7 linked regions of the Oryctolagus cuniculus genome follow. The protein of the gene in region 2 purifies or fractionates together with the protein of the main gene of each other region. This does not show direct contact. Links are inferred from orthologs where the notes say so. Each region holds a gene or a part of one and is shown on either strand. Other genes may lie near its edges. The genes, in order: EIF4E2, DIS3L, EXOSC6, EXOSC3, EXOSC2, HBS1L and GIGYF2.

Region 1 (3,500 bases), on a different chromosome or scaffold from region 2:
GTAGCATTTTATGCTAGGTGCTGAGAAGACACAAACGTGAATTAGACTGTGGGTCAAGGAACTTTCATTTCTTTTTAATAAGATGTGTTTATTTGAAAGGCAAAGTCGCAGAGAGATGGGGGTAGAAGGGGTGCGTGTCGCTCCCCCTCTTCGTGGAGGAACGACACTAAGCCCTGCCTAGGCTTCATATCCGAGTCACGGCACCATTATGTTGCTCCCCCTCTTCATGGAGGAACGACACAGGACCCTGCGCTGTTCTTTCGTCTGCTCGGCCCTCCCCGGGTTTGCTGCTGGTTCTTCCCAGGTTGGCTGCTGGTCCTTCCCGGGTTGGCTGCTGGTTCTTCCCGGGTTGGCTACTGACCCTTCCACCTCCGTGGAAGGGCGGTTCCCCCTGCCACATTCCCCACTTCCGCGGGGGAGCGGTACACCGCTGGCCGGCTCTCTCGGGGGCTGCACAGGTGTCCCCCTTAGATGTTCCTGGTGCATGTTGTCTCTCTCCTCCTTTATAGTCCTCTTCCACCAATCCCAACTCTGCTACCCACACGCCGAGTACACTGCTCTCCTCCAATCAGGAGCAGGTCCTGCAGCTTGTCAAGTTGGTGAGAGGCAGCTGTGTAGAAGCTGGTTCCTCCTCTCCCAGCGCCATATTGTGGGAGAGCAGATGCATAGAATAAGTCTTAATTCGAGTAACTTAGTCTAGTCCGAGTTGCTCCCAGTTGCTCCCCACAGGTGGGAGAAGAGAGGTCTTCCGTCCACTGGTTCACTCCCCAAATAGTGACAGCAGCCGGGCCTGAGCTAGGCTGGAGCCAGGAGCCAGGAGCCAGGAGCTTCCTCCAGGTCTCCCATGTGGGTACAGGGGCCTAAACACTTGGGCCACCCTCCACCACGTTTTCAGGCCAACAGTGCAGTAGCTGGATCAACAGTGGAGTAGCCAGGACTCACACCGCTACCCGTGTGAGATGCTGGAGCTGCAGGCAGCAGCTTTACCCCCCGTGCCACAGTGCTGCACCGCTTGTTTTTAAAAAAAGATTTATTTTTATTATTTATTTTAAAGACAGAGTTACAGAAAGAGGGAGAGTCAGAGAAAGAGAGATCTTCCATCTGCTGGTTCCCTCCCCAAATGGCCGCAATGCGGGAGCTTCTTCCAGGTCTCCCACGTGGGCTCAGGGACCCAAACACTTGGGCCATCCTCTACTACTTTCCCAAGCACATTAGCAGGGAGCTGGATTGGAAGAGGAGCAGCCAGGACTTGAATCAGCATCCGTATGGGATACCGGCGCGGCAGGCAGCGGCCTTACCTGCTATGCCACAGCAGTGGCCCCAGAACTTGCGTTCATTTATTTACTTTTGCTTTTTGTTTTGTTTTGTTTTTTAGGAAGAGAGAGGCAAACTAATTCACTCCTCAAGTGCCTAGAACAACTGGAGTGGTGCCAGCAGCTAGGAACTCGGGCCAGGGCTCCTAACTGGGTGGCAGGAGCCCAGTCCCTTGGGCCTTCACTGCTGCTTCCCAGGGTCCCTGTTAGCAGGAACCTGTAGTCAGGAGCTGCGTCTCAACCCAGGCACTTGGGCGTGGGCTGTAATCATCTGAACTGCCAGGATAAACACCCGCCCCAGGGCTCACGTTTGATATGAGCATTGCTTGCTTGCTTTTTTTTTATTTCAAAAAAATTTTTTTAATAGAAAACTTTTATTTAGTAAATACAAATTCTGAAAGTATAACTTTTGGATTCTAGCAGCGGTTCTTCCCCCGCATAACCACCCTCTCACCCGCAAACCATCCCATCTCGTACTCCCTCTCCCATCCCATTCTTCATTAAGATTCGATATGAGCATTTCTAATAGTGGCTGACACTTAACTGAGCTCCTCCTCAGTGCTAGGCTCTAGCTAGGCCTCTGATGTCCTGCCAGCAGCCCTGTGGAGTGGTGGCGGTTTTCCTCATTTTGCAAGTAAGAAGCTGAGATACAGGGGTCAACGCTGTGGCTTGGCGTCTTAAAGCCCCTGCCTGCAGCACCGGTGCTCCAGTACCTCCCAGCCCCACTGTCGACCCAGCTCCCTGCTAAAGCGCCTGGGAAAGCAGCAGAGGATGGCCCCAGTGCCTGGGACCCTGCACCCACCTGGGAGACATGGAAGAAACTGCTGGCTTCTGGCTTCAGCCTGGCTCAGTCCTGGCTGTTGTAGCCATTTGGGAGTGAATCAGTGGGTGGAAGATCCTATCTCTCTCTCTCTCTCTCTCTCTCCCCCCCTCCCTCTCCCCCCTCCCCCTTCCTCCCTCCCTCATTCTCTCTGTCTTTCAAATAAATAAATCTGAAAAAAAAGCAACAGGTGAGGTACTAACAGGTAAAGCATCTTGCCACTAATAAGTGATAAAGAGCGTCATAGAAGAAGCAGTGCTAGACTGGACATAGGTTAAGATAAGATGCAAGGCCGGCGCCGCGGCTCAACAGGCTAATCCTCTGCCTTGCGGCGCCAGCACACCGGGTTCTAGTCCCGGTCAGGGCGCCGGATTCTCTCCCGGTTGCCCCTCTTCCAGGCCAGCTCTCTGCTGTGGCCAGGGAGTGCAGTGGAGGATGGCCCAAGTGCTTGTGCCCTGCACCCCATGGGAGACCAGGAGAAGCACCTGGCTCCTGGCTTCGGATCAGCGAGATGCGCCGGCCGCAGCGCGCTGGCCGCGGCAGCCATTGGAGGGTGAACCAACGGCAAAGGAAGACCTTTCTTTGTCTCTCTCTCTCTCTCACTGTGCACTCTGCCTGTCAAAAACAAACAAAAAGATAAGATGCAAACAGATAGCTGTGAGATGAGGTAGAAAGTCACAGAAGCCACCCCAGCAGTGCGGGGCGGAGAGTGGGAGCTCACTGTGTAAGCAGGCGCCTGGGCGTGTGCTCGTGCTTGGTGTTTTGTCCTCTCCGCTGTGGAAGCGGTGAGGGTGTGCTGTGAAGTCTCTGACTCGGAGCATGTGGCAGACCAGGGCTGACAGACCTCTGCTCCCCAGGCTGTTGTCCCTGGACCGGCAGAGCACCCCCTGCAATACAACTACACGTTCTGGTACTCCAGGAGGACCCCGGGCCGCCCCACCAGCTCCCAGAGCTACGAACAGAACATCAAACAGATCGGCACCTTCGCCTCTGTGAGTACCTAGTGGGCCAGGGCGGGCCTCGGCGTCCGCTCGGCCGTGCCCGTCGCGCTGGGTGCTCGCCCTCTTGGTGACCCGTGTAAGGTGCTGCTTTCTAACTCGCTGACCGAGCCCCCAGCGGCAGATGTGTTCCCTCTGAGATGTCGTATTTGACATCCAGAGTTAGTAGGTGGTATTGATCAGAAAGGCATAACAGAAAAGTACAGTTTTATCTTTCTGTCTTTTAAGTACGTATTTATTGAGTCCTTAGGACATGCAGAGTGTCCTGTGGTCGTTACACGTGGTGTCCATCTTCGTAGAGTTGCATGGTAAAGTCAGAAGCAAAGTTTCAAGTTTCCTTTGTATTTAAGAACCTCTCATTAGGGTTTT
Region 2 (4,031 bases):
GTCTGGGTGATTTAAAAGCATAATTTGTCGATGTGCATCTCTTATTTGTCCTTTATTGGCAGTAGGGCCTACACCTGGTATTAATGCTTCTCATTTTGGGTTCAAATCCACCTCTGTAATCACCGCCACTGAAGGCAGATGTTGGTAGACTTTGAAAAACTTGCTCCATATGCTTCATAGCTTGTAACACATAATAGCCTGCAAATCCTGCAGCAGCAATGGTCAATCCGCCCGCTACCACTGTACTGGCCATGGCTTGGGCTCAGCTCCCCTGCCTTCACTGGGAGCACGGTACATCCCAGTCCAGAGGCCGCGGCCACCAACCAGACGCCATTACCCAAAAGCGAGGAGCTGCCAGCTACACCCACAAACAGCCCAAGCACAGGCTTCCCGTGAATCCAGAAGCATTTTTATATAGGGACAACTGTGGCTACATCCCGCCCTCTGGGGTCCCTAGCGTGGACCTCCTGAGGGAGAAGGGGCCTCTGGCAGTGGCGGTTGCCTTCTGGGCTTTTCAGTGCTGTGGCCTGCTGGCCGGCTCTGCGCTGTCTGCCTCTTTGATGCAGCTCCATGTTGGATCTTGTCCACACCCTCTGACACTTGCAGAGTAGCTTGCTACCCGGAGTGAGTGAGTGGGTGAGCGGGCACCCCTAGGCCTGCCCACTGCAGCATCGGGGTGGGGGAGGGGGCCACGTGCTCCAGCCCCTTGGTTGAGCTGCCTTCACGCACCTTCACCGGGTACCCTCTAATCACCTCCCCAGGTGAAGCGCCTCTGTTTCATTCCTCTGTGAACAACATGGCCATCACCTGTAGACCTGTCCTGATTCACTGGTGACCGCCCCAGCTAATAACCGGGGAGCCCTGGCCTTCACCCCCATCATAGTCTATAAAATGGTCATAGTGACGCCCCACGCCTTTGACCTGGAGTGAGTTCAAAAGGGACCCATGCAGGCCTGTGCTGCTTTTCCAAGGCTGTGGTTAAGTGCCTGGAGGCAAACTGGTGGGCCCCCTCTCCACCAAGGGTGTGTCAGCTCAGGAGGGGCTGAAGTTATCAGATTGGAAACATGCCCCCAGGTGCCCGCCCCTGGCAGTTCTAAGCATTACTTGGCCAGGGGCTGTTTAATTAGGGCCCAACGGCACCTCCAAATTCAGGATTGCTACTCATTTTACCCACATGGTTTGAATTTCTGCCAGTATAAAAGACACATGCAAGTCAGAATAGAGACTGCCTTTTTTAAGGGGGCATCGGTGGGCTGGGAGGGTTGCTGACTTATTCACCGAAACTCAGCATTCTTAGCAGCCTGATCCACACCCATGGGTGCGATAGTCCCAAAGGCGGGATAATCCCATCTGGTCGCCCTAAACCTTTCAACCCAAGAGTTTATAAACGCGCTGCCCTCCACCTTACCCCATCACTTTTGGACAACCTTCTTTCCTGAGCTCCAAGACCCCACAGCAGCAGCAAGATGAGCGACACAGATGCTGGAAGATGGCCTCGTCTCATCCACTCCGAAGAGGAGGCCGCTACGGCGGGTTCGGTGTCCGGCGCCCTGGCCGAGGGGCGGGCCTCAAACCTCGGCCTCGTCTCCGCCTGCTCGCCCAGCTCGTCGGGTTACTGGAGAACGGGCGAGGGAAACATGCTGGAGAAGACGGAGCGAGTGATCACGGTGAACGCCGTCTACCGCTGTCCGCTGCGGGTCGTGAGAGAACACTACCTGCGGCCCTGCGTGCCCTGTAACAGCGCGCTGTGCTCCCAGCCCGAGTACTGCTGCAACGGTCAGAGGCGCTCGCCGAGGGCCGGGCGGGCGGCGGGCGGCGCGGGGCGAGAGGCGCCGGGCGCGCCAGGCAGGGCCGGGAGGCGGAGCGCGAGGCCCCGGCCGCGGCACCGAGGCGAGAGAGGCCCAGGCCCGCGGGCGCCGGGGCGCTCCTCGCACGGAGCTCCCTGACGACTCCGCGCTGCCTCGTGGAAACCCCGGAGGGAGAGCCTGGCGCTCGCTCGAGCGGCCCGAGGGCCCCCGCAGCCTGCCTCTTCCCGTGCGCAGGGCGGCGCGATCCTGCGGCGGGAAGGGCCGGGGCGGCCAGCCCCACGCAGAGGCAGAGGCGGCGCGCGGCCTGCCCGCTCCACAGCGCTGACGCCGCCCACCTGGCTGTGGGGGAGAACCCGCTTCACGGCCGGGCTCGCGAACCGGGCTGGCGTGGTGGGGGTAGCGGGGCGAAGCTGGTGTGGAGCTGTGCGCGCCAGACCTTGCCCTCTGGGGTTCTCCAGTGATGGCCGGGTCCCCTCCCCGCAGGGGCACGGGGAGCGCAGCCAGGGGGCTCCTCCATGCAGCTCCGGGGCAGGGTGGACAGCCCTGCACTGCACGCGGCTTGCACCGGGCGTCGTTTCTAGGCAGCCGGCCCTGGGCTTCCCTCCAGAAGCTGGCCCTGACCTTGCGGGGCGTCCGCAGGTGGTTAACGCGCAGAAGCGTACACGCCACCCACCCTGCGGAGCCCACATTTCTCGCAGCTTCGAAACACGATGAAGCTGCCCAGTTTGGCTGAACCCCGGGCCTGTCGTTATGTACAAAGTGCCCGGAAGTTGTTTTGCCCCTGTGGATGACCTAGGGTTAAATGTTCTCTGATCTCTTCTGTTTTGTGTTTCAGTGGGCAAACTCTTACCTGCAGAGGTGACCCATTACATGGTGCCAGACAGCTCAGTTTTCGATTACTTTGAAATCTTGGAAATGCCGGAATTGAAGGGCGTGATTTGGCTGCAAACTGTGACTGACGCTCTACATTCGAAAAGAGGGTGGAGGTATGTTTGTATTGATCACCATCCCCCAGCTCCACAGAAAAGATTTGAGACTCAACCAGCATCCCATATGGGATACCAGTGCTTCAGGCCAGGGAGTTAACCTGCTGCGCCACAGAGCTGGCCCCTAAACTTATTTTTTAAAACAGCTAACCACTGGGGAAAGTGTCTATGCTTTGATTTGAGGCGTACAGCCGTGGCATGCTAACGGCATATCCAACCTCTTAATACCCCGAGTTATTAAATAAGCAGAAATTTTGGAATTTTCTTTTCAGATCTTGGTGGTAAAAAGTGAGGTGTTTATTTGTGTGAAAATGATAAATTATCCTTAAGATAATGGTCAGTTTTTTTTTAAAAAATATGCATTAGCTGGATTGTTTACAGGCTTTTCCAGATTGAATATTTTAAAATGAGTGTGAAGTTTATTTTATTCAGACACAAAGATATATTTTTTCATATCCAGGTTTAAATGCTGCTCCAGGCGTCATATTTCTGCTACTAAAATCAATTTGCTGTTATATTCCCATTGCTAACACACTGCGAGCCTTTTCAACCTGTTTTCTAAAATATTTTTAATATTAAGGATTGCTTTCCAAACCAATTCCTGTGACATTCAAAGGCGAAGCATGGGTATTTAAATGTCTTTTCTCTTGAACATTTCGAAATGAGTGAACTTGATGAAAAAGGATTGGTTTTTCCACTGCTTAGTCCTGTCTCACATATACTAAATGTGAAAACAAGGGAGGAGCAGTTAGGAAAGAGGCTTCCAGGTGACACCCTGGGCTTTCCATGTAGTAAGCACTTTTTGAGCTGTTCCGAGGCCTTAGGGCACGCAGTCTTAGTCCCTCTTACCACAAACCTGTTGACTTCCTGGGATTAGATGAAAGGAGCAAGGTTGGGGCAGGTGTTTGGTGCTTGGGATGTTCTCACGTATCAGTCTGGCTTCCTGCTGGTTTGAGCCCTGGGAGGCTGCAGGAGTGGGCCCCTGCACCCAGGTGGGAGATCCAGCTGCAGCTTCTTTGGCCTGAGCGAGGGCTGGCCATTGTGATTTAGGGAGTAAACTAGTAGATCTCTTCTGGGGTCTAACGGGAAGCTGTATGGCTGGGATCTGAAGATGTCAGGGTACCCACTAAGCACTAACTGCCCTCACCTGCTCTGTACTAAAATTTCTTTATTTGAAAGAGTGACAGCTGGAGCTCCATGTCTCCCACAGGGGTGGAAGGCACCCAGGGACTTGGGC
Region 3 (2,920 bases), on a different chromosome or scaffold from region 2:
AGCCATGCTCCTCTGCTTTCCCAGAAGCCAGTTCACCCGCCCTCTCCCCAGGGGCTCAGGCTGGACAACGGGCAGATGAAGGCAGCCCAGGGGCCCACTCAGCGGCAGTGCAGGCCTTTGACTGGACTGCTGTGGCCCTGGCCACGGAAGGCTGGGATCCGGCTTCCACCCCCAGCAAAACCCTTTCCAGCTCTCGGGAACCCTGCGCTGGGGCCTCTCGCGGCACAGCCATGAGCTCCGGGACCCCCGAGTGCTCCCGGGCCGTCCAACTCTCCTCCCGGCGCAGCAGCCGCCCTCACGGGCACCGGAGGCGGCGGCGTGTCTTCCTGCCAAGCACACGGCCCACTTCTAAACCCGCAGCTGCTTCAGGATTCTGGCCCGTCTGGTCGGCTCACCGGTCCAAGGGACACGACACAGGCGGGGCAGTGCTGTCCTGAGCCTCACCGCCAGGGAGCCTTGCTCTCTCTGAAAATCCTGTACTAAGAACCACGACACGCGTATTTCGAATACAAAAAAAAACGGTTTTGTTGTTTCAGTCCCGCTGTGAGAAGGCGCAGCGCCCTGTCCATCGTCTCCGGAGTCACACAGATCCCGCGCTCCGGACCAGGCCGGCTCAAGTCCTTCCCAGCTCGGGAGTAAGCAAGCAGCCCGCGGCTTCCTGCGCTGGCTTCTGGCTGGGGACTGGAAAGATCGTCAAACGTTCGTCTGTCGACAGCCGTTCCAACGCAACTGTCCATCTCCGCACGCTCTGTCCGCTCGCGGCTCCACTTCGCCCGCCGGCTCAGGGCAGGGCGGCGCCCCTGCGGCGGGCGGCCCGCACCAGGCACTGCTGCAGCACCGGGTAGAGTCGCTGGCAGCCCTCGAGGCCCAGCCGCACGGCTTCGGCCCAAGTCTCGGTCGCGTCGCCCTCCCCGCTGCCCAGCAGCCCGGCCACCTGGTTGAGCACCGGCATGAGGGCCACGGTGAGGCCGGCGGCGGCGCGCTCCTCCTCCAGCCGCGTCGGGTCCAGCAGCCAGGCGGGCGTGGGCCCCTGCGCGCGGCTCAGGCCGCAGCCCACCACCAGGTCGTACATCTCGACGCCCGCGTCGGCCAGGGCGAGGGCGGCGGCCGTGAGGGCGGCGGCCAGCGCCGAGCCGCCGTCCTCCAGCAGCAGCGCCGACACCTCGAGCTGCGCGCGCGGGTAGCGGCTCAGGCGCACGGCCGGCTCCAGCGCCTCCTGCAACGCCAGGGCCAGCTCGCGCTCCTCGCCGCCGCCCGGAGGCGCCCGGCGCCGGCGGCCCGAGAAAGGCGCACGGCGGAAATCGCAGACCAGGCGGCCGCGCAGCGCGGCCGGGGCCTCGCCGCCGGCGCCGGCAGGGCCGCTCCCTCGCTCGCTGCCCTCGACCTGGCGTGGGCCCGACACGGCGCACAGCACCTTGGTGCCTCCCGCCTCCAGGTAGGCCGAGCCCTTGGCCTGGCTCAGCAGCCCGGCGCGCGCGTACACCGGCCGCAGCCGCGTCGGGTCTCGGGCGGCGGGCTCCTCTTCCTCGTCGGCGGCGTACAGCTGCGGCGGCTGCGACTCGTCTGGTCCGCGGATGCGGCGGTGGTCCCCGGGCATGGCGGCACCTGGCGAGCACACCGCTTCCGCCCGTCGTCCTACCGCGCGCTCCGGCTCTTCCGCCCGCTTGAAGACGCGCGCTCGCGCGGGGGCTGTCGGGAGAGCCGCAGGCAGTCGCGGCTGCACTGCCCCCTGGCGCCGTGGAGGGAGAACGGCTGCGGCGCCAAGGCTTTGAAGCCGCAGCAAGGTTGCCCAGGGCTGGACGGGCCGGTTGACTGTCTCCCAGGCCAGGTCCTACCCGAGCGCTTAGTCTTCTCACTTATGCAGGCTGTAGTTATCTTAGTTTTGCACTAATCTGTGGGACTATTTTATATGTCCCCACCGGGGAGTTGGCCTTGCTCACTCCCAAGCCCCTGGCTGGCACGAAGGCCTATATGATGGATGGAATCTCTCTCCAGCACTGGCTTTATGTAAGTCTCTTTGTATCATTAACACGGACATCAACACCCCCTTTCTGCCTCCCCTTCCCACCCTGAGAACCGCCCCTCACCCCAGCATGCACCTGCTTTTCCTTCTCCCTCCACTGTCAGCAGCACCGTGACCTGGGCTCTGGGGCCAGCCGCTGTATCCAGAGGACAGGACATCCGTTGGGGCTGGCACAGGCAAGCAGTACCTTCACCTTCCAAACTCTGCCATTTTAGACTTGGGGAAACTGGACTCAGAGACCGGCCAGTGTCTTTGGGTCAAGTGGGAGTGATGGGCAGACACTAGAGTAGGAGGCAATAGCTGCACCTTAAACATCTTCTGTACCAGAGACTGCCCTCCAGCCTCATACCCTGACCCCACATGAAGAGCTTCAGAGGGAGGGGAGGGACATGAGCCAGAGCCGCCGCCTGCAGGGCTGGCATCCGATGTGAGCACCAGTTTGAGACCAGCTGCTCCAATCCAGCTCTCTGCTATGGCCTGGGAAAGCAGTGGAAGATGGCCCAAGTGCTTGGGCCCCTGCACACGCGTGGGAGACCTGGAGGAAGCTCCTGGCTTCGGATCAGCACAGCTCCGGCCACTGCAGCCCTTTGGGTAGTGAACCAGTGGATGGAAGACCTCTCTCTCTCTGCTTTTCTGTAACTCTGCCCTTCAAATCAATCAATCTTTAAAAGAAAAAAACAATGGAGGTTCTCCAGGCGCACCTTTGCTTTGTAACCCCTCGGACCACTGAATTATTAGAGCCTCTCTCTCCATCTCACCCCCGTCTCCACAAACACTGAGTTCAAGGGTTTAGGGCTGGACTGAGCTGGAGTCAGCATGTTTTACACACCCTCGGGTAGCCAAGAGCTGTCAGCAGGGGTGCATGCTGGGAGGTAATGACCAGAAGGCATCAATGAG
Region 4 (3,958 bases), on a different chromosome or scaffold from region 2:
TCACAGTATTACTATATTCATTTACTTATCAGGCATTGTTTCTTTTTTTCTTTTTTTTTGACAGGGAGAGTGGACAGTGAGAGAGAGAGACAGAGAGAAAGGTCTTCCTTTTGCCATTGGTTCACCCTCCAATGGCCGCCGCTGCCGGCGCACCGCGCTGATCCGAAGCCAAGAGCCAGGTGCCAGGTGCTTCTCCTGGTCTCCCATGGGGTGCAGGGCCCAAGCACTTGGGCCATCCTCCACTGCACTCCCTGGCCACAGCAGAGAGCTGGACTGGAAGAGGAGCAGCTGGGACAGAATCCGGCGCCCGGACCGGGACTAGAACCTGGAGTGCCGGCGCCGCAGGCGGAGGATTAGCCTAGTGAGCCTCGGCGCCGGCCCAGGCATTGTTTCATACCAGACCTTGGGCTACAATCAGAACTAGAGTGGTCGGCATGGAAGAGCACACAAACAGGCAAGACCAATACGTTTTCTTCTCTAGTTACAATCAAGGTGTTTTTTTTTTTTATGATTTATTTTATTTATTTAAAAGGCAGAGTTACAGAGCGACAGAGCTCTTCCACCTCCTGGTTCACTCCCCAAATGGCCTCCAAGGCAGGGGCTGAGCCAGACCCAAGCCAGGAGCCTGGAGCTTCATCCAGATCTCCCAGGCGGATGCAGGAACCCGAGGATTTGGACCATCCTCTGCTGCTTTCCCAGGTGAGCAGGGAGCTGGATGGGAAGTGGAGCAGCCGGCACTCGAACCACAGCAGCCTTACCCACTAGGCCACAACGCAGGTCCCCAAGAAGTTTTACTTTGAAGAAAAAGTACTTTTCCTGGTAAAGGTCAGCACACTTCTGAAGGTAGCGTCCGAAAAGAGCCCCACAAAGTAGTTTCCAAAGTCCCTCTGTTCAGCTCCCGTAATTCTCCAGGGATCCTATGAGAAGTATCTTGTAGTCCAGGGGTGCGACCGGAAGTGCAGGCTTCTCCAGTGGACTCAAGCTGGGCGTGGCTCACTGCCGACCCGCGGGCAGACCACGAGGCAGGTGCTCGGGTCCTGACACAATCACAGCCGCCTTGGGCGAGGAGCACCCGCCTGCTGGCAGAGACCCGGCTTCGCAGACTTGGGTGCAAGGCCAAACGACAGCCACGGCCGGAAGCGGAAATCCGGCCGTGGGCTGGCTGCTCCACTCGGAGACGGAAGCGGAAGTTGGGTACCGGAAGCAGTGTTTAGTGACGCCTACTATGGCTGAATCTGCGCCTGTCACAGCTGAGTCTCTCGCGGGCAGCGGGGCGCGGGCGGCGTGCACGGTTCTGAACCAGGTGGTGCTCCCAGGAGAGGAGCTGCTGCTGCCGGAACAGGAGGACGCAGACGGCGCTGGCGGGGCCGGGGAGCGGCCGTTACGCCTGAATGCCGGGGTGTGCTCGCGCGTGCGCGTGGTGTGCGGCCCGGGCTTGCGGCGCTCTGGCGATCGTCTTCTGGTCACCAAGTGCGGCCTCCTCCGCCACAAGGAGCCCAGCAGTGGCAGTGGCGGTGGCGTTTACTGGGTGGACTCGCAACAGAAGCGGGTGAGCTGGGATCCCGGGGGGGACGGGGAGGTGGGGGCGCGGCCGTGAGCATGGAAGAAGCCGCCGTGGGGCCTTGCAGTGTTAAGGCGGAGGGTGGGGGCGCTGCCGTGAGCGTGGAAGAGGCCGCCGAGGGGTCTTCCTGTGTTAGGGCGGGGGGTGGGGGCGCGGCCGTGAGCGTGGAAGAGGCCGCCGTGGGGCCTTGCAGTGTTAAGGCGGGGGGTGGGGGCGCGGCTGTGAGCGTGGAAGGGGCCGCCGAGGGGCCTTGTGTTAAGTCAGGGGTGGGGGGCGCGGCCGTGGTGCCTTGCTGCGTTAAGGCTGATTTGGAACCACCGTAGTGCAGGGCCCACCTCAGCAGCCACTGTATGTAGGACCATGAACAGTAGGGATGCAGCCTGACAGAGGCCTCTGGAGACTGAATCATGGTTATTGTCATTAAAATCCCAGTGGTTTTGGAACAGCAGGCTTGACCTTTGGCGTCCCAGCGAGCAGAACCAGGCTCAATGAGTGGCAGTTACAGGGAGTTAAATCGCTCTTAGGTGAGAACTTTCCTGGTAGGAAAAAGTGTCTAACAATGGAATGTGCTTTCCTGGTTCTAAGGATTCCAGTGCCACTGGACTTGGATGCAGCAGAAGCTAGGGACTTACTGGTAAATACTGGCTCAAATGAATAGAAGCTGTAGGGGCCACTTGTGGTGCAGCAGGTTAACGCCCTGGTCTGAAGCACCGGCATCCCTTATGGGCGCCCATTCGAGTCCCGGCTGCTCCTCTTCTGATCCAGCTCTTTGCTATGGCCTGGGAAAGCAGTAGAAGATGGCCCAAGTCATTGGGCCCCTGCACCTACATGGGAGACCTGGAGGAAGCTCCAGGCTCCTGGTTTTGGATCGGCGCAGCTCTGGCTGCTGTGGCCAACTGGGGAGTGACCCATCGGATGGAAGACCTCTCTCCCCCTTTCCCCCTCTTCCTCTATCCTCCTCTCTCCTTTCTGTGTAACTCTGATTCTCAAATAAAAATAAATAAATCTTTAAAAAAATGAATAGAAGCTGTAAATCTGAGAGTTTATACTGTGATCTCTCTTTTACTGAAAATGGCATATAATCAAACTTGTATGGGTTAACTTGTAAACTTGCATTTCGGAATATTTAAAATTATCTCTTTAATGACAACAACTAAGGCTAACTTGCTGGAGATATCTTGCAATGATAGCTTGCCATTTATGGCTGTTCTCTCAATTCTGTTTTGTAGTATGTTCCAGTGAAAGGAGACCACGTGATTGGCATAGTGACGGCTAAGTCTGGAGATATATTCAAAGTTGACGTTGGAGGGAGTGAGCCAGCTTCTTTGTCTTACTTGGCATTTGAAGGTGCAACGAAAAGAAACAGACCTAATGTGCAGGTAATGATGGCGCCTTTGACCCCTAGGACGTTCATTTATCCAGCAGCTGCCTGACCTGTCTCCAGAGCCTGGCCATTCTCCCAGCTGTGCGGGATCATCTCTGAGTGTTCGGGCTCTCAGAGTTCCTTCAGAGTCTGCAGGAGCAGAGGCACACACTTGGTTTATATTTGTGACGTTGGTTCCTGGGAGGCTTCACCTTGGAGGGGAGAGGTTCTGTTTTCTCCGCTGTTACCTGTTAGGTCCGTATCCACTGGCCAAGGTCAGGCACAGCCTTAGAGAGGGGGAAGGACAGGTGGTGCAGATCAGCAGCAGCTGTCTGTTCGCCCTGCAGAGGAGTCATCTTCTTACCTAAAGTTTGCAATTGGCCTTCTCAGGTCGCATAGCCACACCCTTCCTGTCTACCCAAGCCAGGAACTTGGTGGCTTCTTTGCCCTTTCACCTCTAGTCACTAGTTGCTTAATCCTATTTTGAGCCTACCTCCATCCCTTTGTCTCCACTTTGCAAGTTCAGGCCTTAAACCCCCGCCCCCACAACTGAAGTCAGTGAGTGATCCTATTAACTCCTTTACCTCCACCCTTTTACCCCATCCATAGAGGCTTTGGGGAGCTGATATCCCCTTTCTCAGACTAAAAGGAAGATTCTTCAAAGCCTGCAGAATTCCTCAGCGTTACCTCCTTCACAGCGTGCGTGAATCACACCATACTCTACTGAACTCAGTTTCCTGCCCGTGTATCTTGCTTGGGTCATTCAGGTTGTTCCCTGTCGGGATTGCACAGGCTCATCCTTTGGGATCTGGGGTGAACAGGACCATCTTTGTGAAGGCATTGCCAGTCATCACTTTTTTATCTTTGCTTTAGCACTTAACTGAATTTGGCCTCGAATGAAATCTAATCTGTGCATCCCAGCTGCACTCCAAGACCAAATGCTTCTGAAAGGCAGACAGTGTTTTGTTCCTCTCTAGGAACGTGGTCACTGACAAAAAGTAGATATTTAATGTTTCCTTGAGTGAACAGAACAG
Region 5 (4,205 bases), on a different chromosome or scaffold from region 2:
AGCTCCTTTAAGCAGGAGTGGCAGATAAGACCACACGGGACAGGCATCGCTCCACCGGCAGGGACTCCTGTGACGTGACAGGCAGTGCCCGGCACGCGGGCGGAGGCTGCTGTGGGCACAGACGCAGGTGCAGGCCTTGGTTGTGTGTGCGCATTTGCCCTCTCCACCACACACACCTGCCTCGCGGGGTGTGGCCTGCTTCGCTTCACTTCTCTTTCTCTTTTTTCAGAGAAGTCAGCTGGCTCAGCAGTGTCCGGCGTGCTGCCTGTGGGTGGGGGTGCGGGCTGGGTTGACCCAGCAGCCGTGAGGCGGCTGTTCTGACCGACTGGGGCCACTGGGAACAGTGTGAAGTGGGGCGCTTGGGGCTGGCGCCAGGGCACAATGGGTTAAGCCATCACCTTCTATTCTGGCATCTCATGTGGGTGCAGGTTCAAGTCCCGGCCGCTCCACTTCCGATCCAGCCCCCTGCTAATGCTCCTGGGAAAGCAGCAGGGGATGGCCCAAGTGCTCGGGCCCCTGCACCTGCATGGGAGACCTGTGGGGGGAGTTCCTGGCTCCTAGTTTCTGGCCACTTGGGGAGTGAACCATCAGATGGGAGATCTTTCGCTGTCTCTCCCTGTGGCTTTGCCCTTCAAATAAATCTTTTTTCCCTAAACTTGGAACACTGCTTTAGAAATTGCTTGGCTCCTTAAACACTGTCTTTTTAAAAGCATTTATTTATTTGAAAGGCAGAGTTAGAGAGAGAGAGAGAGACAGAGAGACAGTGAGACAGAGAGGTCTTCCATCCACTGGTTCACTCCTCAAATGGCTGCAAGGGCCAGAACTGGGCCAGGCCGAAGCCAGGAGCTTCCTCCAGGTCTCCCACGAGGGTGCAGGGGCCCCAGCACTTGGGCCATCTTCCACTGCTTTCCCAGGCGCATCAGCAGGGAGCTGGATGGGAAGTGGAGCAGCTGGGCGCCCAATGGGAAATCAGCGCTGCAGGCAGCGGCTTACCCCCACTGCGTCCCAGCGCCAGTCCCAATAAATCTTTTGAAAAAAAGAAAGTATGGCTATGCTTTCTGTTGAAATCGTGTCCTCCTGGGCGCTGTCATACAAAAATCAGATTTTAGCGGCTTAGAGCTGGACGGAAACTCAGAGGCCCATTCCTCAATTACGTCTAACGCTGGTAAACAATAAGCAGGATGGCAGTACCAGACAGCTTTGATAAAAAGCCACAAACAATAGCTTGTGGAATGCCATCACGCCACAGGTGCACCCTTGCCAGTAATAAACGTGGAAACTCCGCATTCCTCCCCTTCGGGTTAACATAACGGTTGCCAGTAGTCAACATGGCTGCCACACCGTGCGCTCCCATTGGCGGCTGCCCTGAGGCCCCGCCCCAGACCGCCCCTCTCGGAGTTGCCGGGCTGAATTCCGCGGCTCCGGGCCGAGCTGCGCCTGCGCAGGTTATTGGCGCCAAGATGGCGATGGAGATGCGCCTTCCGGTGGCGAGGAAGCTTCCCAGCGAGAGTCTGGGGCGTGATACCAAGAAGCACCTGGTGGTGCCGGGGGACACGATCACCACGGACACGGGCTTCATGCGGTACGGGGGGCCCCGGGGTGCAGGGGGCGGCCGCAGGGCTCTGCACGTGATCTGCGGGCCCGACCGGGGCCCAGGGCAGCCCCTCGGCGTCGTCTGCGAGACGAGTCCCTGACGCCGCCTCGCCTGCACTCTGGCGGCCCCGACTCTGGGGGTCTGAAGCGCCGATCTCTGGGCGTTCCTTGCTGGGGGCGGGAGGAAGGGGACTCTACGGGTCCGGCCGTGTCCGGGGGCGGGGGCGGGAGGAGGGGGACTCTGCGGGTCCCGGCGGTGTCCGGGGGCGGGGGCGGGGGGCGGTAAGTCGGGGTCTCTGCGGGTCTCGGCCGTGTCCGGGGGCGGTAAATCGGGGTCTCTGCGGGTCCCGGCCGTGTCCGGGGGCGGTAAATCGGGGTCTCTGCGGGTCCCGGCCGTGTCCGGGGGCGGTAAATCGGGGTCTCTGCGGGTCCCGGCGGTGTCTGGGGGCGGGGGCGGGGGGCGGTAAGTCGGGGTCTCTGCGGGTCCCGGCGGTGTCTGGGGGCGGGGGCGGGAGGAAGGGGACTCCGCGGGTCCCGGCGGTGTGCGGGGGCGGGGGCGGTAAGTCGGGGACCCTGCGGTTCCCAGCCGGGGGCGGACGGAGGGCAGACTTGGCTTCCCTCCTCCTCCCTGAGCCCCCCACCCAGCTTGGGCCCGGGGTAGGGGTCGTTCCTGTGTGGGCTTAGGAAGACTCAAGGTTGCATGAACTACCTTGCATGAATACACGCTGTGCCGCAGGGCAGTGCAGGGCCTTGTAGTTGGGGGACAAGGGGGGCTCCCCGCCTGCCAGTCACCTTATCAGAGGTCCGGTTCCTGATCTGTAAGAATTTCTGACGGGAGTTACTGAAGGGTCGGATGGGAAAGATACAAGACTCACCGTTAGATCGCCGGCAGAGATAAGCACTGGCAGTGTTTCAGCCTCTTGGTTTTTTGTAGGAATGCACGTTTGCCGGGTGTACATCATCTTCAGCATCAATATTTGTTTATTTTTATTTATTTGACAGGCAGAGTGGACAGTGAGAGAGACAGAAAGGTCTTCGTCTGTTGGTTCACCCCCCCAATGGCCGCCATGGGCCTTGCGCTGTGCTGATCCGATGGCAGGAGCCAGGTGCTTCTCCTGGTCTCCCATGGGGTGCAGGGCCGAAGCACTTGGGCCATCCTCCACTGCACTCCCGGGCCACAGCAGAGAGCTGGACAGGAAGAGGAGTGACTGGGACTCGAACCCAGTGCCCATATGGGATGCCAGTGCCACAGGTGGAGGATTAACCAAGTGAGCCGCGGCGCCGGCCCCTGCTTATTTATTTTTGAGAGAGACAGAGTGTTGTTTCACTTCTCAACTGCCTGCAACCCTCTGGCTGGAGCCAGGAGCCAGGAGCGCAACGTGGGTCTCCCACGTGGGTGGCAGAGAGCCAGTCGCTTGAGTTGTCACTGCCGCTTCCCCGGGTCTGTGTTCGCAGGAAGCCGGAGCCAGCAGTCAGACCCAGGCACCAGATGTGGGAGGCCGGCTTCTTAGCTACAGGCTGAACACTTGCACGCCCACCACCACTCCCCTAACTTCTCCCGGGGCTCCCGGGCAGGTGCAGGGGCCCAAGCACTGGGCCCTCCTCTGCTGCTCTCCCAGGCCATAGCAGGGAGCTGGACGGGAAGTGGAGCAGCCAGGACTTGAACTGGCACCCACATGGGATGCCGGCGCTGCAGGCGGAGGCCCAACCTGCTGGCCCCACCCCAAGTTTGAGGTTGTTGGAATCTCCGAAATGTTAAAATTCATTCCTGTGTTCGTACTTTCGCCATATATTTGTAGTCCGTGTGGTCTGGGTGTAGCAGTGAACAAAATGAATTCTGTCCTGGCGGAGTTGGCGTCTGGGGAGACACAGATAGTGAGGAATATGTTGGCCGGCGCCGCGGCTCACTAGGCTAATCCTCCACCTGCAGCGCCGGCACACCGGGTTCTAGTCCCGGTCGGGGCGCCGGATTCTGTCCCGGTTGCCCCTCTTCCAGGCCAGCTGTCTGCTGTGGCCAGGGAGTGCAGTGGAGGATGGCCCAAGTGCTTGGGCCCTGCACCCCATGGGAGACCAGGAAAAGCACCTGGCTCCTGCCATCGGATCAGCGCGGTGCGCCGGCCGTGGTGGCCATTGGGGGGTGAACCAACAGCAAAGGAAGACCTTTCTCTCTCTCACTGTCCACTCTGCCTGTCAAAAAAAAGAAAAGAAAAAGAAAAAGGAATACGTTAGCACAACAGCAGACAAGGAGTGGGGTCAGTGTTGCGGCACCAGGGGTTAGGCCATGGCTTGAGGCCCCAGCAGCCCGTATCCCAGCCCAGGTTAGAGTCCCGGCTGCTCCACTTCTGATCCAGCTCTCTGCTGTGGCCTGGGAGGGCAGCAGAAGATGGCCCAAGGGCTTGGGCCCTGCACACACGTGGGAGACCTGGTGGAGCTCAGGGCTCCTGGCCTGGCTTGACCCAGCCCCAGCCCTTGCAGCCATGTGGGGAGTGAGCCAGGGATGGAAGATATGTCTGTCTGTCTCCCTGTCACTCTGCCTTTGAAATAAATAAATAAATCTTAAACAGCAACAAATAAGGCATAAATGGAGAGCGTGCTTGGGGATACGGCGGCAG
Region 6 (3,500 bases), on a different chromosome or scaffold from region 2:
AAAACATTGTTAGAATGCACTATATAAAACAAGAGTTCTATGGATTAAATCATTAAACTATAGGCTGACAAGTAACAATGCGAATTTTATTACATAAATCATTATTTTGAATAATTAAAGTATCAATTAGGGCTGGAATTTCTGCTAAATACAATTATACTTCTATGGCATTAAAACAAGGTTGTGGATACAGCAAGAACTCAATCAAAAGGATTGTTATTTCCCATTTCCTTGCTTTTTTATGTTTTAGTAAGAAATAGTATGAAGTATAAATAAAGAAAAATATATGGGGACATCTCTAGTGGGGGGAAAATAAATACTGCACATGAGAAAAGACAACATGAAAACTCATCACTATCAACAGGTAATGTCCTTATGTTTCATGGTTATACCTCACCTATTTATACAAATAAACTTGTGAAATTCTCATTTGCAAGGTTAGTCAGTAAGTAATGCATTTAGAAAATATGGAGAATCCAAGGAGACCTAACTTTTTAAAAACTGAGAGAAATGAATGGCAGTTTACTTTGTGTGCCTTTCCATCTCCTCTGGAGACCAGACACAATGAACGCCTCTTTTCAGTCACAAGAATGTAGATTGAGATTATAGGGAAGCTGAGGGAAGGTCCACAAGGTCACTGAATCACTCTTGACCTCTGGAACTTAGAAGAGGAACTCGGGTGGGCAATCATCGTAGTACCCGCTGCATCATCCAAAGCAGTGGATGACAGCCCTCTCTTTCATTTTCACGAGTCCCAACGATTCTAATGAACTCAGGTCCCCCCTCAGAGTCAGGTGACTATGGTTTCCTCAGTCATGGCATCTGAGTTTAATCTGAAGTGATGGGCCAAAGTGAGGTATAGTTCTCCTTAATAATCTCCAAATAACCTATGGATCACGGCATTTCAGAATAGTGATGAACCATGACTAATCTATGTAATAAAGGGATATTCTAAAAATAGTATCATCCTGAGAAACCGAAGACTAGTAGCAGTAAAAGTACAACAGTCAGTAAGCAGCAACATCATCCAAAAAAGACCCCTAAAATGAGTGATGATTATAGGAATCAGATCATTAGCTAACTTGCCAGCTTAATTCACAAATTAATTAAATTCGACCAAATTATTTGCACTCAAATTATACTGTCTCCAATCTCTTATTTACTAGATGACACAAAGAAAACTAAAAGCCATATACTTTAACAATCTGCTTGTTGGGCTGACAAGCAGAAATTATGTATGCTTCTAATACTGATGTCATATACAATTCTACTGTTTACAAAAAACTGGCAGCTGTCCGGCTAATTTTTCTTACCAAGGTGGAAAACAGGTTCATGGTGCTATACAGAATTTATAAGACACTTACAAGGGGATAAAAACCTGCTATGATATAAAGTCCTACTTATTAGAAGAGCTAAGGAACATTGTGACCAGTTTTACCAATGATTACCTTATATATTATAATGCAGGTTATCCAAGACTATGAGAAAATAAACATATCCATGAAAAAAGTATAGAAATCTAAATATCTCTAATTATACTCAGATTGAGGAAATTGGGGGAATGCAATTTAATTTAGTCATCATTTTGAAACAGTTACACTTAATCACTAAGGTGCCCTTGGTTCTCCCACCGTTTACAGCCCTAAAATAATACATATCACTACTACAAGAAATATTGTACTTTAGCCAGAAGTATATGAGTGGCTGTATTCTCCTGCTAGAATTTCCACCTCTCCCCTCACCAAATTAGCATTGAACATAGTAACAAAGACAGAAGGGAGTAACTGACTGAATTATATCTCAGTGGCAGGTTATGGGTTTAATTACTTATTTAAAGTATAAAATAAGTAAGTGTGGTAATCTAGATATAATGGTCACTTTGATCCTGAAAGAAGAGAGTTCACTACTGTTGCCTTTCCTTTACAACCTATTATAAAATTAAGTCTTAACTCATAATTTAAATTCAATATCAAGGCAATCAGGCATAAAGGGAAGTAGTAACAGGATCTTCTCCCATAGAATAATTAGCTTAGGGTTTTTACTAATTAACTTCTATGTGTTTTTTGTTTTAGCTTTGATTTATTCTCATAGAATTTGGGAGAGTACAAAGAAGCTATTTATAATGAAAATTACAAGAAATACTTCTCTCTGATAATTAGAAGTTTCTCTCTGAATATAAAATCCCTAAAGTATTTCATGGCATGTTTCATATATTCAACACATATTACTAATTTAAAAAGACTATATCATTTCAAACTGAAAATTCTGAAATATAGTGACTACCTTTCTCTTTCTTCACCAGTCTCATCCAAGACCCATGCATACGCAAACGAAGCTTTGCCAGCCTTTTTAGACTCCTGTTCATACTTATGCATAGTTCTTTTGTTTACATTACCCAGGAGATAAAGCATATGGCCCATCAGAGTACTTTTCCCAGCATCAACATGACCTATGGAAAATTGATTCAAGATTAATACCAGGCACATTTCACAAGCTGTTCACACTGAGGCGTTGCATGACAGTGTAATTCAATAGTTCACTGCAGTGTTTATGGAGTATACTGAATACCAATTTTTAACAAACGACAGATAAAACATCTAAATGCGGGGTGGGGGGGGCATGTCCCTTTAGAGGGGGAGATTTCCCTCATTTTTATAAATTAAAATTTTCAATAAGACATGCCATTCTCAAAATGTGCACAACATGAAAATGCGGCAACAGGTCCACCAGCCTCCTTGGAAACGCGGCATCATTTCCGCAGGGTGACCAGGAAGCCATTATGATGCAACAGCTCCTTGCTTTCTGTCCATTACACCCACAGAGGAACACAGAGCTTCGGGGCTGCCCCACAAGGCAGTGAGGCTCGCGAACCTGGAGGCACAAAGGGCATTACCAATGACCACTAAGTTGAGGAGCTGCTTCCCTCCTTGCCGCTTCTCCAGTTCGGCTTTCACATCGATTTGCTGCCGCAGCCTGCCGGGCTTCTTCACCAGCGCCGCCGGGGAGCTCTGTTCTTCCGACACCTGCCCCGCGTGAGGCGCGGGAGCGGATTTCGCCGTGTGCTCCAGACCGCCACCAGAAGCAGCACTGCTGGTATCGTCACCTTTCTGAGGTGTGTGGAAACCATGACCATTCTCTTGGGAAGTTACTCTAAAGAAAGCAGTTAGGAAAACACTGTTTTAAGCCGACTCTACTTATGAGTCCTTTTTTTTCCATAACTCTTTACACCTCAAACCCAAATGCCTCTGCCAAGTGGTTAGAGTTTGCTAAAAGGGGGATGGCATAAGCTAGACCCAATCACACAAATACAAACTGGAAGATCCCAGATGAAAAAAATACTCTATCAAAGGAAAAAAAAAAAATCCTGTAAACTAACTAAACCTTAAAGTCCAAGCCTTGGTCATATAATCAATCCTATCAAAAAAGATGGCATAAAGGAGGTATAAAGGAGGTTTTTTTTTTATGGCACCACGTTACTGCAGATAAAATTAGCATTAAAA
Region 7 (4,270 bases), on a different chromosome or scaffold from region 2:
TTGGGAGCTAGGAGCCCAAAACTCCACACTGGCCTCCGATGTGGGTGGCCGGGATCAAGTACCCGCTGCCTCCCAGGGGGGACATTAGCAGGAAGCTGCATGGGAAGCAGAGCGGGGACTTAAACCCAGGTCCCTCCAATGTGGACGCGGGCTTCTCCTGTGGTGTCTTCCCTGCCGCACCAAACGCTGACCCCAAGCCTCCGCATTTCTACCAAGCTCCCCGGCCCTGCTGAGGTTGTCCGGCCACTCACTCTGGGCATCAAGGGAATGAAGGTGAAGGGAAGGCAGTGTTTCAGAGAGCAGGAAGTGGTCAACGTGTTGAAGACAGGGAAGCACCAGCGGGAGGTGAGAACTGCAGCGTCCTCAGGGCGAGGGTAGGGAGGTAGGTTGTTAAGGAGGAAGGGGTGGGGGTAGAATGGGGGGGTGGGGGTGGGGGGGTGAGGATTGCATTCTAGCCTTGGGAATTGAGAAACTGCATCTAAACAGCTCTTTGGGGTCAGTTTGGCTTTCAAAGGTAACGGAGAGGCAGGGAGGAAAGTGAAGGAGGAATTGGGGTTTTTAACATAAATGTTTAAGGTGGGAGACATTTGAGTATTTTTTAAAGAGTTTATGTATTCGAAAGGCAGAGTTACAGAGGGAGGGAGAGACAGAAACCCGGAGAGAGCTCTTCCAACCTTCGGCCAGCTCACTCCCCAGATGGCCCCCGGCTGGGCCAGGAGGAAGCCAGGAGCCTGAACCTCCGTCCCGGGCTCCCAGGTGGGTGGCAGGGGCCCGAGCCCTGGGGCCATCAGCGGGGAGCTGCAGAGGGTGGCCGGCTGACCTGACGCGAAGGGAGAGGGTGCAGGCCCGGGAGGGAACGGGATGGCCTGAGAGGGGCAGAGTTGCCAGATTTGGCAAGTGAAATTCAGGGCGCCCAGCTAGGAACGGGGATTTCAGAAAAAGAACGACCGGCCGGCCAGCCTCAGCGGATCCCAGATACTGCTAGGTGTGCCGCAGCGGGAGACTTTCGCGTCAGCTCTGGGGAGGATCCCCCGTTCTGCCAGAGCTGTCACCCCGATGAGAAACTGGATCATCGGATCTCGGCGCTCTCCCGTGCGCTCCAGGACAGCAAACGCGCAGGGAAATTCTGCGCGCAAAGCGGTGGGAAAGTTCTGGTTCGGAAAGCCAGCTCGTCAGTGATGGAGAGGCTTCTGCGCTGCAGCTGGGCCGTGGCTTGGGTGTGCAGGACAGTGAGTCACAGGCCCCGGCCCGGGTCCAAGTCCGCACGCCAGCTCCACTCAACCCAAGGGCAGGCGCGGAGCGGCCGCCACGGGCCCCCCAGGCGCCTGCGCGCTGCCGCCGCCCCGCCCTCGCCCGGCCTCGCATCCGGGTCTCGGGAGGGGGCGTGTCCGGGCAAAGGGGCGGGAGGCGGCGGAAAGGGAAAGATGTCGTGGGAGGCTGGGGAGCGGGGAGGGGAGCGGGGCGGGCCGGGGGCGGGGCCGGAGCGGGGCGCGGTCACGTGATGTGCGTGGCGACGTGTCGGCCATCTTGTGTTGTTGAGGCTGAGGACTGACTTGGGTTCTGAGAGACTCCCTGTCCCGGACCGCAGGTAACCAGCGACTCCGTCCCGCTCCCCTGTCCGGCTCCGCTCTGCGCCCTGGCCCTGCCGCCGCGCCTCGGGCCGCCTGGCCTTGCGTCCGCACTCACGTCCTCCCGCTCCGGCCAGACCCGGCCCGGCCGCATGGGGACACCCACAGGCCGCCCCGGCGGCGGCCGCGGCCGGCTGGGACGTCAGGCGAGGGGGGACAGGTCAGGTGCGGGGCCGGAGGGAGCCTCCGCCCGGGCGAGAGGCACGGCGGGCCCGTGCGCGGCTCGGCCGCGGGACCCCCCCCCCCCGCCGGGCCCCCGTGGCACTGCGGGGCGAGCCGAGGAAGGGGGCAGGGTGGTGGGGTGGGCAGTGTCAGACCGGTCGCTCGGGGCCGGAGGGCTCGCCTTGCGGGGCCTGCCCACCCGCCCGGCCCCGGTGCCCCGGGGAGCAGCCGCTGCCGGCAGACAGCTGCCCACACCTGGCCCCCGGCGGGTGCGCCCCGGTGGTGCCCGCCGAGCATCTGGCCGGGGGAGGCTCCTTCCGCGGCGAGAGGACTGGGTCTGGACCAGGCCCGAGGCGAGGTGGAGCCATGATCCGAGGCTGGGCCAGGGGAGCCCGCGGCAGCTTTGGGGACTGGAAGGCGCACCTCCGGTGGAAGCGGGCACGGTGGCCGTAAGTGTCAGCAGTTTCCCACGAAGCACTCCGAACACTTCAGCGTGGTGGCCGACACATGAGGCCGCCGGGCAGGCCAGGAGGGTGTGAAGGCGGGTTGGTGACCGTGTGCGGAGAGCAGGAGCGTGGCTTTGCGCGCACCCCCCGCCGCCCCCGTTTTCCTGAAAGTCAAAGCACCTAGGCACACCTAGTCTCTGTAGGCAGGTAAGTATTGCAGTGGACCTCGCAGCCCAGTGCTGAGCCCTGGCTCCTAGGCGGCTTGATCCCCAGTGCTGTGTTCAGGGGAGATACTTTTTCCATATGTACTATTTCCTTTTTGGAAGCTGGTGACTTCCTAGGATAGAAGAAAAGATTTTTTTTTTTTTGGTCCTTCTGTACACGAACTTCCAACCTTCTGGCCGCATCGCTGGCCTTCCACGTTGGCCCGTTTTGCTGAGCGCACAGACGCCTTCTCTCGTTTATTGGTGTTTTCGTGTGTTTTACCCGCCGGAGTAGCAGACTGGAGCGCTCGAGCTGGAATATGCACTTTTCTGTTCCGTCAGCCGTTGACGTCCGAAGAGGATCCTAGGAAGAACACGTAAATGTGGCATGTATTTGGAAAAAGGACACATGACCCTTCCTTGAACATCTCACGCTGAGGAATGCACTGGCGATGGTGGTGATTCACCGGGAAGGAAAAGCCTTCACACCCTCTTGACGCTTCAGAGAACATTTTAGGATTTTGAGGCTGGGAGGGAGAAGGGACAACCTGCTTATTTATTTACTCATTTATTTCTGCATTCATTTACTTGACAGTTCTTGAGCACTTAACTACAGTGTTGGGTGCTGGAAGCAAAACAGACCAATTCCTGTCTCAGTAGAACTCACTGGTAGACAGAAAATAAATTCTTAGGTAGAATATGAAGACGCTCCTTGCTTACTGTGAAGCTACAGCTCCATAAACTCATCACTAGTTGAAGATGCATTGACCCCACCTGGCCTTTACATATCACAGCTTGAGCACACAGAGCACTGTGAAGTGGGTTGTGTCCCTGTGATCTTGAGGTGACTGGAGTTTCTGCTTGTATAGTGAGAGAGAGTCGGACTGTGTTGCCAGCCCAGGAGAGGATCCACATTCAGGTTCCCAGTACGGTCTCTACTGAATGCATATTTCTTTCCCATCTTTGCAAGGTAGAAAAACTGTAAGTTGAACCATCGTCAGTCGGAGACTGTATATTGTGTAAGTGATGTGAAAAAATGACACAGGGAGGCAGGACGTTATTAAGAGGGCTGGAGAAGGCTTCGTGGGAAAGCCAGTATCCGAGGGGAGGCCTGGCAGGTAGAGGTGCTGTTCCTTTAGCAGTGTGCTGGAAGAGCGCTCCAAGCTGGGGGCAGCGAGCACAAAGACCCTGAGCCTGACGACCGAGGTGACCGAGGTGGGAGGTGACCGGTGACCAGCCAGGCCAGCCTACGCCCAGCGGCCAGGGTTCGAGGGAGGCTCGGAGCAGCAGGGTGGGTCTGCCCCTGCTAAGGGGAAAGGATTGCTCATGAGACTCGGAAAGGGAAATCGAGGTTCTGGAGTTCTGGGCCAGCAGCTCCACCCCCTTCCGCACGCTCTCCTCCTGCCACCTTCCCCTCCCCCCCAATTTGGAAAATTCAGATAATGAATATATGCCAGGCAGCTGTGGTGAATTTCCCCACTAAAAGTAAAACTTAAAAAATAAACAGTGTATTTTTCAGAAGGAATTTTTTTTCTAAAAAGAGGATCTTTGGACATTTCAGGATATTTGAAAATGTGGGGAAAGGAGGGACTTCCTGTAAAGTTTAGATGCAGATGATTAAGGAATGTAATTAGGAGGAATCATTGTAAACTCAAGTCTGCCATAATCTGGTCAGTAAAGAATTTTTCTGAATTCTCTGCTGTCCAGTCTAGGTTCTAGTATCCAGGGACCTCTATGAATTCGTATATCCTTTGTCGCATTTTACATGCATAGAACTTTGCTGGTTTTTATTCCTCCATTTGCCTCCTTTACCTTTCAGACTAGTTTTCTG

The links.
Region 1: the proteins of DIS3L (region 2) and EIF4E2 purify together in Homo sapiens (affinity purification with mass spectrometry; 3 studies listed by BioGRID and IntAct, with this or other methods). This does not show direct contact. The link is inferred for Oryctolagus cuniculus from reciprocal best matches to the Homo sapiens genes DIS3L and EIF4E2.
Region 3: the proteins of DIS3L (region 2) and EXOSC6 purify together in Homo sapiens (affinity purification with mass spectrometry; 3 studies listed by BioGRID and IntAct, with this or other methods). This does not show direct contact. The link is inferred for Oryctolagus cuniculus from reciprocal best matches to the Homo sapiens genes DIS3L and EXOSC6.
Region 4: the proteins of DIS3L (region 2) and EXOSC3 purify together in Homo sapiens (affinity purification with mass spectrometry; 6 studies listed by BioGRID and IntAct, counting the BioPlex papers as one, with this or other methods). This does not show direct contact. The link is inferred for Oryctolagus cuniculus from reciprocal best matches to the Homo sapiens genes DIS3L and EXOSC3.
Region 5: the proteins of DIS3L (region 2) and EXOSC2 purify together in Homo sapiens (affinity purification with mass spectrometry; 5 studies listed by BioGRID and IntAct, with this or other methods). This does not show direct contact. The link is inferred for Oryctolagus cuniculus from reciprocal best matches to the Homo sapiens genes DIS3L and EXOSC2.
Region 6: the proteins of DIS3L (region 2) and HBS1L purify together in Homo sapiens (affinity purification with mass spectrometry; 5 studies listed by BioGRID and IntAct, with this or other methods). This does not show direct contact. The link is inferred for Oryctolagus cuniculus from reciprocal best matches to the Homo sapiens genes DIS3L and HBS1L.
Region 7: the proteins of DIS3L (region 2) and GIGYF2 purify together in Homo sapiens (affinity purification with mass spectrometry; 3 studies listed by BioGRID and IntAct, with this or other methods). This does not show direct contact. The link is inferred for Oryctolagus cuniculus from reciprocal best matches to the Homo sapiens genes DIS3L and GIGYF2.

What each region holds. Positions count from the first base shown.
Region 1 is NC_091434.1:6,905,251-6,908,750, reverse strand, and holds part of EIF4E2 (eukaryotic translation initiation factor 4E type 2), read left to right. Parts: intron 1-2,990; coding exon 2,991-3,125; intron 3,126-3,500. UniProt on the Homo sapiens protein: Recognizes and binds the 7-methylguanosine-containing mRNA cap during an early step in the initiation. Acts as a repressor of translation initiation.
Region 2 is NC_091443.1:89,272,569-89,276,599, forward strand, and holds the start of DIS3L (DIS3-like exonuclease 1), read left to right. Parts: upstream 1-1,231; 5' UTR 1,232-1,466; coding exon 1,467-1,776; intron 1,777-2,344; exon of another isoform or gene 2,345-2,447; intron 2,448-2,643; coding exon 2,644-2,794; intron 2,795-4,031. UniProt on the Homo sapiens protein: Catalytic component of the RNA exosome complex which has 3'->5' exoribonuclease activity and participates in a multitude of cellular RNA processing and degradation events.
Region 3 is NC_091449.1:56,939,944-56,942,863, reverse strand, and holds EXOSC6 (exosome complex component MTR3), read right to left. Parts: upstream 1,672-2,920; 5' UTR 1,598-1,671; coding exon 782-1,597; 3' UTR 501-781; downstream 1-500. UniProt on the Homo sapiens protein: Non-catalytic component of the RNA exosome complex which has 3'->5' exoribonuclease activity and participates in a multitude of cellular RNA processing and degradation events.
Region 4 is NC_091432.1:200,611,408-200,615,365, reverse strand, and holds the start of EXOSC3 (exosome complex component RRP40), read left to right. Parts: upstream 1-1,158; 5' UTR 1,159-1,225; coding exon 1,226-1,549; intron 1,550-2,790; coding exon 2,791-2,940; intron 2,941-3,958. UniProt on the Homo sapiens protein: Non-catalytic component of the RNA exosome complex which has 3'->5' exoribonuclease activity and participates in a multitude of cellular RNA processing and degradation events.
Region 5 is NC_091432.1:233,342,217-233,346,421, forward strand, and holds the start of EXOSC2 (exosome complex component RRP4), read left to right. Parts: upstream 1-1,405; 5' UTR 1,406-1,460; coding exon 1,461-1,582; intron 1,583-4,205. UniProt on the Homo sapiens protein: Non-catalytic component of the RNA exosome complex which has 3'->5' exoribonuclease activity and participates in a multitude of cellular RNA processing and degradation events.
Region 6 is NC_091436.1:33,928,296-33,931,795, reverse strand, and holds part of HBS1L (HBS1-like protein), read right to left. Parts: intron 3,151-3,500; coding exon 2,894-3,150; intron 2,450-2,893; coding exon 2,284-2,449; intron 1-2,283. UniProt on the Homo sapiens protein: GTPase component of the Pelota-HBS1L complex, a complex that recognizes stalled ribosomes and triggers the No-Go Decay (NGD) pathway.
Region 7 is NC_091434.1:6,789,376-6,793,645, reverse strand, and holds the start of GIGYF2 (GRB10-interacting GYF protein 2), read left to right. Parts: upstream 1-1,470; 5' UTR 1,471-1,588; intron 1,589-1,941; exon of another isoform or gene 1,942-2,239; intron 2,240-4,270. UniProt on the Homo sapiens protein: Key component of the 4EHP-GYF2 complex, a multiprotein complex that acts as a repressor of translation initiation. In the 4EHP-GYF2 complex, acts as a factor that bridges EIF4E2 to ZFP36/TTP, linking translation repression with mRNA decay.